Linked DNA regions of Xenopus tropicalis. The protein of the gene in region 2 purifies or fractionates together with the protein of the main gene of each other region. This does not show direct contact. Links are inferred from orthologs where the notes say so. Each region holds a gene or a part of one and is shown on either strand. Other genes may lie near its edges.

Region 1 (4,083 bases), on a different chromosome or scaffold from region 2:
TATATTTTTGCCATTCCTTTACATGATTTTCCAGGTGTCCCCGTTGCTTTATTTGCGGCTTCAGCTGTTGCCACTCCCAGTGTTTCTATTCCCCAGAGGCCATCCTTCCCTTTATACATTCTGACTCCCAAATCAAAGCTGCCTTGGGTTCAGCAACGGCAGCTCTTCTGGCCAGTATAGACACAGGCATGGCTAGTGACTTACATCGGACGCGTCAGATGAATTTTTTCAACAGGCCCCGGCACAACAGGCTGCGCGTCCAGCGCAGCCTGTTGTGCCGGGGCCTGTTAAAAAAATTCATCTGAAGCGTCTTCGTATGGGCCGGTGTCCAATTCAGTTCAACTAGTTCATGCTGCAGACTGCACTGGTTTCTATGCTGCCATGCAGAATGCAATTGGATGAATTGCTAAAGTACAAGGATCTAACAGCAATATTTAATCATACTAATAATGGGAGTGGACCCATATTTTTTTGGTTGACAGTGAAAGCAAAGCCCTGATTGGCTGCTTTCTGATCAGTACAACACTGTTAAACCAACACCTGTTGGACAGCTCCACCCTGGGACTCATATGGGCGCAGAGCAATTAACTGCGAGTGGCTTAAAATAGCCCACTAGCGTTATGTCAGTTGGACACATGGGAACCAGCAGCACCCAGCTGCTCCCAGTACTTCTGCATGACTCCATAGGTCACATTAGGGTTTAACATGTGCCAGTACAGTTATAGTTGAACTGCAACTCTCAACAACCAATCACCGCTAAAGCCTAGAGCTGAAACCTTTCATTCAACTTATTTAGCAACTTTCAATTGGTCTTCATTTTTATTATTTATGATTTTTTCTCCCCCCAATTACTAGTCCTTTCCTATTCTTGACTTTTTTTCTGGCCTGCAACTAAAAATTCTACTTTGTCGTCGGGGATCAGTGACTGTTATCGTCATTCTTATGATTTCATAGACAATGTAGCAGAAGCCAGCTGATTAACAGACCAGAAGGAGAACCGATTTCAGCTACAATGTTTCAAGAGTAACATGGCCTATAGGAGCTAAAGCAATGGCCCCCAACCTTTTTTGCACCATGGCCCAGTTTCAAGCAAGACAATTTTTCGAAGGACCAAGGTTGGGGGGGGGGGGGGGGGGGGGGGGCCCACAACTAATTTATAGTATATAATTTAATTAGTACATATATAATGTAAATGTCATTATTACATTTTATATTATGCACTTTATTTTTATTGTTATGGATATTATTACATTATAAAATATAATACAGCTCACCATAATACAAAATCAATGGGAGATCAGGTGGCCCAGTTCAGCACAGCCCATGGCCCGGCACTGGTCCACGGCCTGGTGGTTGGGGACCCCTGAGCTAAAGGGCCTCCAGGAGTCCCCCAGGCAAGGGCAATCAGGGGTCCCCCAAACAAGGGCAATCAGGGGTCCCCCAGACAAGGGCAATCAGGGGTCCCCCAGACAAGGGCAATCAGGGGTCCCCCAGACAAGGGCAATCAGGGGTCCCCCAGACAAGGGCAATCAGGGGTCCCCCAAGGGCAGGCATCGCTGCAAATTGTGGCCCTGCTTTGAAAGGAACATTTAATCAGACCAGTAAGGCCTCTCGGCTCTTTCTGAACTACAACTCCCATATTCCCACTGACATTACTCCTGATTTGTGCTGCAAAATAGTTTAATACTCTTAAGGTGCCCATACACCTTCAGATCCGCTCGCTTGGCCTCCCGATATCCCCCACCTACGGGTGGGCGATATCAGGAGAATCCAGGCTAATTATAACGACGGGTATAGGAAAAGTCGGTCCGGGGGCTGCATCAACGAGCTGACGCGGTCCCCGATCCGACTAGATTTTCTAACCTGCTCGATTGATATCTGGCCGATTTCAGGCGAGATATCGGTGGGGCAGGCCTGTCGTTAGTTCCCATACACGGGCCGATTAGCTGCCGAATCAGTCTAAAGGTTCCCATACACGGGCCGACTATAGCTGCCGATATCGGTCCCTTGGACCGATTTGGCAGCTAATCGGCCCGTGTATGGGCAGAACACAACGGCCTGGCCGACCGATATCTGGCCTGAAATTGGCCAGATCTCGATTGGCCAGGTTAGAAAATCCGGCCGGATCGGGGACCGCATCGTTTGCTCGGCTGCGGTCCCCGAACCGACTGCCCCATAACCACAAATGTAATCCAATCGTTTGGCCCTGGGGATTATTTTTTTTTCAAGTTACTTGCTGCCCGATATCGACCACCCGTAGGTGTGGATATCGGGTGAAGATCCACTCGCTTGGCGATGTAGTGTATGGGCACCTTAAGGGACCTATATTGGCAGCTAGAACCGGCCCGTGTATGGGGACCTTTATAGGATTACCCCAGCACTAAATACTCTCACAAACCGACCTAGAACCAGACCCAATAGCAGCCAAATGATTGTAAGCAGGCACTAGGACCCAGCGCCACTGCGGAACCCACATGTCTATAGAAAGGCACTACCGTAACGCCTTAAATATCCGCGCCCCCGGCTCCCCCGCCGGGCCCAGGCCGGCCCTTCTTCTATATAAGCGGGCAGAGCCGCTTCCCCTGCTGCCCATGTTACCTGGCGAAGCAGAACTCGCAGTGGTTTCCCCGTTCGTTTACAGTCAGTACGTAGGTGTAGGCCGGGCAGCTGAACAGCAGCTCCCCCAGCGCGAATGGACGCGTAGCCTTCAGACCCCGGCCTTTCCCTGGGCTGTCGAACCGCTCCAGACCCTCGGGCTGTCCCATGGTGCGGGAGGGGGGCAGAGAGAGAGAATGACAGAGAGGGGTGCGCCTGTGCCAGGGACAGTCTATTAATGCTTCCCCCCTGCCGGGCCGCACTCACTCACACACACACTGAGACAGCTGGGCAGCCTGCCGGAGCCGCAGGGTCCTACCGCCGTTACCTGACTCCCTCTCTCTGTGTGTGCGCTGGAAATACTGCCCCCCTGCTGCTGCACGGAACTCGGGATCCCCTTTTAAAGTCATACTGTTATCATAAAAGCATTGCCTTCTTTTTATTGTCCCATTAGAGGGTTACAATGCTACAAGCATCTCCAAGAGGCATTATAGTTAGGCCAGTATGTGAGTATTTAATAGGGTAATTCAGCTGACCAAACTGTAGCCTGGCATGTGTGCCATTGAGAGGGAAAGATAAAGGGAAACAACAATTGTCTTGTGAAACAACAATGGCTGTTTTCCTAGGGCGGGGGGTGCCCAGACTTTTTCGCACAACGATTGACTTTGGCTCCTCCCTGCGTACATACGCGGTGCAGCTTACGCACGCATCCCCAATAAAGGCGCTGTGGTTCCGCATTTCCCTGGCTTAGATCCCACCAGAAGTCCACGGGGGATCGACTGCGATCAATGTTTTGGCCACCCCTGTCCTGCGGGGGTGCTTTAAAAATCCCTACCACAAAGCAAGACAGCACTGCTGCCCTTTGCTAGAAAGGAAGTAGGAACTAGTCACATGACTGTGTAAGCAGTGTCGGACTGGCCCACCAGGATACCAGGAAAACTCCCGGTGGGCCCAGGTGTCAGTGGGCCCTCCTGCTCCTGACCATTTGGCCTACTTCCTGGTCATTCCCTATTTCTGAATGGGAACAAAGAGGAGAAATAGATGGAAGAATAGATGCTAGCATGTAAATAAAAGAGACTAGGAGAATAAAGAGGTTGGGTGAGGAAAGGAGAAAAAATAGTTTAGAAAGTGGGCCCAGGGTCTAAGGTTTCTGGTGGGCCCCTGGGGTCCCAGTCCGGCACTGCATGTAAGCATACAGAGGACTGGGCACACTTGCAGTCAGCAGGAAGCTGATTTATTCACTGCCTCTGCCTTCTTCCCTTCCTCAGTTCTTAATCTGACCATACATGTACCAATAAAGTCACATCTTCAAATTTTGTATGTTGGTTGGACCCCCCACTGACCTATATTATTGTACCGTGCATATTGGGCAGTTTATTCATCAAGCTGGTTGGAAAATGTGAGCAGCCAATGGTAATGCAGCGATGGTTCAGAAACAGATTATCGGCCTCTGTATGGGCACCATTAGCCCAGAGTGTCCCAAGGGCG
Region 2 (4,001 bases):
GAGATTAGTCGCCCGCGAACAGGGAGTTAATCGCGGGCGACTAATCTCCCCCGTGTGCCAGAGCCCTAAAGCTACTCCATGTTTAATCTAATTAGGTTTCCAGTATTCCACCCCCTTCTTTTACTCAATATTGTGACTAACAGGAATCCAATTCCCGTTTGAGGTGGGGAAAAAAAAATGATTTCTAAATACAGCTGCTCTGCAATTCCTATTTAATTTAAGAACATGTGGTGTAGGGGCAGTATATCCCCTTGCTCAACATCAATGCAATGAATAGGGCTTGTACAGAGCATAGTTTCCTGCCTATTGTTTTAATCATGAAAGATCAGTTTTGTAAGAAAATAAACTATCCAGGGATATAACTAGTAACCTAACTGTAGCATTAACATTTAGCTTATAATTACAACAGTCTATTAGCCTATTAACAATATAACAACATATATATATGTTTAATTCATATATAATGTGTAAAAAAAAATATAAAAAAAATAAATATATCACATAGTCTCTTAACAGTTTATTAGAAATAATGCAGACAATTAAAAAAAATCCCCACAACTTCCAATACAACTTTAGGTATCTTTTCCTGATCAAAAAAAAAAAAAAAAGGAATAAAACAAAACAGAATAGTGTATTAACATTGTTACTCTTTTTTAATATATACTGTGACAGTGCAAATACAATTTGGTCTAAATGTACAGACTGATGAGAAATAATGTACAGCTGGCTGCACTCTTCCAAACGTAGAGTTGCAAAAGGGTGGAAAAAACAATTGTACAGGCATGTTTCAGGGGCTGTGAGAACCAAGTTTTTATGGTCATTCTTGGTGTCCACAAACCCTGAATCTGAATAACCCAGACAGCCCTTCTAAAAGCACATGTATTGAATTCACTGACAAATGTTGCATACAGATTACGGATGTCCTAAAAATCTGTTATCTGAATCAGGGGTAGCAAATGAATAGAATGTACTACTGGAAACTGATACGAGGAACACATTTTATGGTTGTATTAAAGCATTAAAAATACATAAGCACACCAAAATTAAGGTAAATAAAATCAGTTTGTGTCACAGTATTGACAGAAGAGACTATTAAAGGAAAATTACGTTCTGCGCTGCATTTAATATAAACTCCCAAAAGTCACATGACTGGGCAAACACTACGTAAAACTAGTTAGGAGAAAAAGAAAAGCTGTAGATTGTTTTATATTCCCTTATTTCTTTCTACAATTTCTTTGCAGGTTTACTGTAAAGTGATCTGAAAATTGATACTTCTGCAATTATACATTGATTTAAAACGATCAATTGCATTACTTGAAAGACAACTTTCTATGATTAAATTGCTGATGTCTCTAACACTCTTCATTTGCCCACATTACTTTTACTTATAACCCAGTGCCATCCAAAGCAGGACCTACAAGCAAAACCCAACTGTGCATCCCAGTACAATGCTTTTCAACCACTTGGCTGTGTTTATGATCCACAATGAAAAAACCTAACCTGGGTTCAATTACAATCGCTATATGAGTACAATTATTTGGGAAATTTTGGGAATGTGCTGTCAGAAGAGATACACATGTAAGTGACCTGCTGCTTGAGATGAGATGAACACCCCCACCTTCTCCCTTGAAAAAAAATGTAAGTGCATTGATATTGTGGCTATATGCAATACCAAGGATGGCTGTGAAGTCTTGCATAAATACAGGTAATCTAAAAAGTACATCTAGAAGAGGCTCAATGGTCTGAAGGATGCACTGTACAACTGTAGTCTCCAACCCTCAATGAAAGCCATTTGGTGGTGATAAACAAACAAGGCTGACTGGAAGTACTCAGTAACTGTATTTACAACTCAGATATCAGCAACTGTTGCAGTGTGTTGAAATATTTTGCTTTCCACCTATTTTCCCATCCCTTTCCCAAACCGCAAGAGGACTTCTTATTCAAGGTCAGGCATTTCTGTTAAGAAAACATTAAAAAGAAAAGAAAAAAAAGTTTAGAAAATGGACAGCTTAGTAGTTTATGTAATTTGTAGTTTTGCATGTCTCTGCTTGGCAAGATATTATATAGATGGAAGAAGCAGAACTTACTTTCATCGTCACTGTCTGGTGAATCCTAAAAATAACATGAGATATAAATTAAGATGTTCAGTGTCAATGTAACTGTACAAAACTCTCTCTTCCATGCTGTTATTTTAAGTAAATAAATCCACTTGAACAAAACTTTTTAATAGCCTTTTTATTCTATATATTTTAACCTGGCATCACATGGAACCAGTACATCTAAGGCTAGTTCCATCTGTAGCTGTTTCTGCGTCTGCACTGACAGGCACTGTGTCGGCCTAGGTGAAAAAACAAGGTGATTTCAGCACAAAGGCGACTATACATGTTTGCACCAAAATATGCTGTGTGTGACTGCTCCCAGGCTGACAGTGCAGACACAGGAGCAAATCAGACTGCATATAAAACATCTGAGCCTTTATAGAGCAGTCTCTCAGTTTTTGCTCTTAGATCACCCTAATAAATCTCTTCCTATAAACTATGCCAGTGGTCTAACTCTCACAAACCATTCAAAAAGGTAGCTCAAGTTTTCAGCTTTTTTTGGATCCAATAGAAAACTAGGAGCATAATTTCCCCTGTATGATCATTTAAGTAAGATCTGGAACTTACATCATCTGCACCATCTACTTCTGGTAAATCTACATCCTCATCTCCACCCATATTGTTCATCATCTGTTTAAAAGAAGGGGGGAAAAAGCATTTAAGTAGCCAAGCCTTTGTTCTTTTGTATGAAAATACCAATACTTAACCATTTTTAATAGGTTGTCATTAAAGTAACCATAACACCTGTATATAAAATTAAATAACAAAAGAAAATTACAATTTAAAACAAAAAGCAAAGAAGTAACCATCAAGACAGAGCTATAAGGGGGGTTCTCCTCCTTCTCCTCCCTATGGTTTTATTTACACCTTTCTTTGTAACTGGGTCAGTAGATGGAACCCCTTAATGTGGCCATATACATGCTGAAAAATTTTGCTGACTCTGCCCCTCCTCCAGTTCTATCAGGCAGGTTTAAAAAAAATCCATCACAGGAGGACAGGTACTATTTTAGTTTTAAAACTTTTATAGGCATATTTATCAGTTTATGAATTTGAGTTTGTTTTTCTAAATCAAATTAGCTCACAGATCGAATGCTTGCTTCTTTATTAATGTGGTAAATTCGTGCAATTTAAAAAACCAAACAAAAAAAACTAGACTAAGTAGAAATTTAGAATTTACAAAGTCAAAAAAACAAAAACTTGAATATCCCAAATTGAAAATATGGCTTGACTTTGCCTAGTACAACTCCCATTGATTTCTATAGAAGCTCACAAGATTTTAGATGGGGAATTTTTACATTCAAGTTTTTAGCACTTTAAATACCAGACATTTGAGTTTTTGAACCATAATTCAAATTTGGAGTTTTTTACCGAACAAAAACCTTTAAATGATAAAGTCAAACTCGAATGTTGATATCTCCCCCTTAAAGTCTTTATCATAAACATCATTTTTTTGAGAAAAACATTGTTAGGAACACAGTTAAGATAAAGGTTCTGCTGAAGTACTGCTGTTACAAAAGGACCAGTTACCTCAGAAAAGCGGTCAAAATTTGACATATCTTCATCAGAGTCATCTTCCCAATCTTTCCAGTTATTGAAGTCAACACTAAGCCAATTTAGCTGAAAAATAAAAGATACTAAAATGTTTAATACAATATAAAAGCTACATCTTCAATACCAAAAGAAATAGTGCCCAGAATAACATACCTTTCTCCCTACATTCAGTCACATGTAAATTCTGTACCACAAGCAGTTCAACTGCAGCTTTCTCAGCTAGTCTATAGCATGAAGCCCAGCCCCCTTTTACTTTGCCGAGCTTCCATCTTTCGGACTGTAAAGATAGTTGAAAAGGGGTCTGCTACTGCTTGCTGCCTCTCTTACAACATAAATCAATCACGCGTGGGC

What was found. Proteins that work in one complex are often made in the same cells at the same time.
Region 1: the proteins of ptges3 (region 2) and smyd2 purify together in Homo sapiens (affinity purification with mass spectrometry; 3 studies listed by BioGRID and IntAct, with this or other methods). This does not show direct contact. The link is inferred for Xenopus tropicalis from reciprocal best matches to the Homo sapiens genes PTGES3 and SMYD2.

Annotation. Positions count from the first base shown.
Region 1 is NC_030681.2:13,619,734-13,623,816, forward strand, and holds the start of smyd2 (N-lysine methyltransferase SMYD2), read right to left. Parts: upstream 2,948-4,083; 5' UTR 2,766-2,947; coding exon 2,599-2,765; intron 1-2,598. UniProt on the Homo sapiens protein: Protein-lysine N-methyltransferase that methylates both histones and non-histone proteins, including p53/TP53 and RB1. Specifically trimethylates histone H3 'Lys-4' (H3K4me3) in vivo. The activity requires interaction with HSP90alpha.
Region 2 is NC_030678.2:138,770,320-138,774,320, forward strand, and holds the end of ptges3 (prostaglandin E synthase 3), read right to left. Parts: intron 3,717-4,001; coding exon 3,627-3,716; intron 2,730-3,626; coding exon 2,667-2,729; intron 2,113-2,666; coding exon 2,088-2,112; intron 1,957-2,087; coding exon 1,937-1,956; 3' UTR 505-1,936; downstream 1-504. UniProt on the Homo sapiens protein: Cytosolic prostaglandin synthase that catalyzes the oxidoreduction of prostaglandin endoperoxide H2 (PGH2) to prostaglandin E2 (PGE2).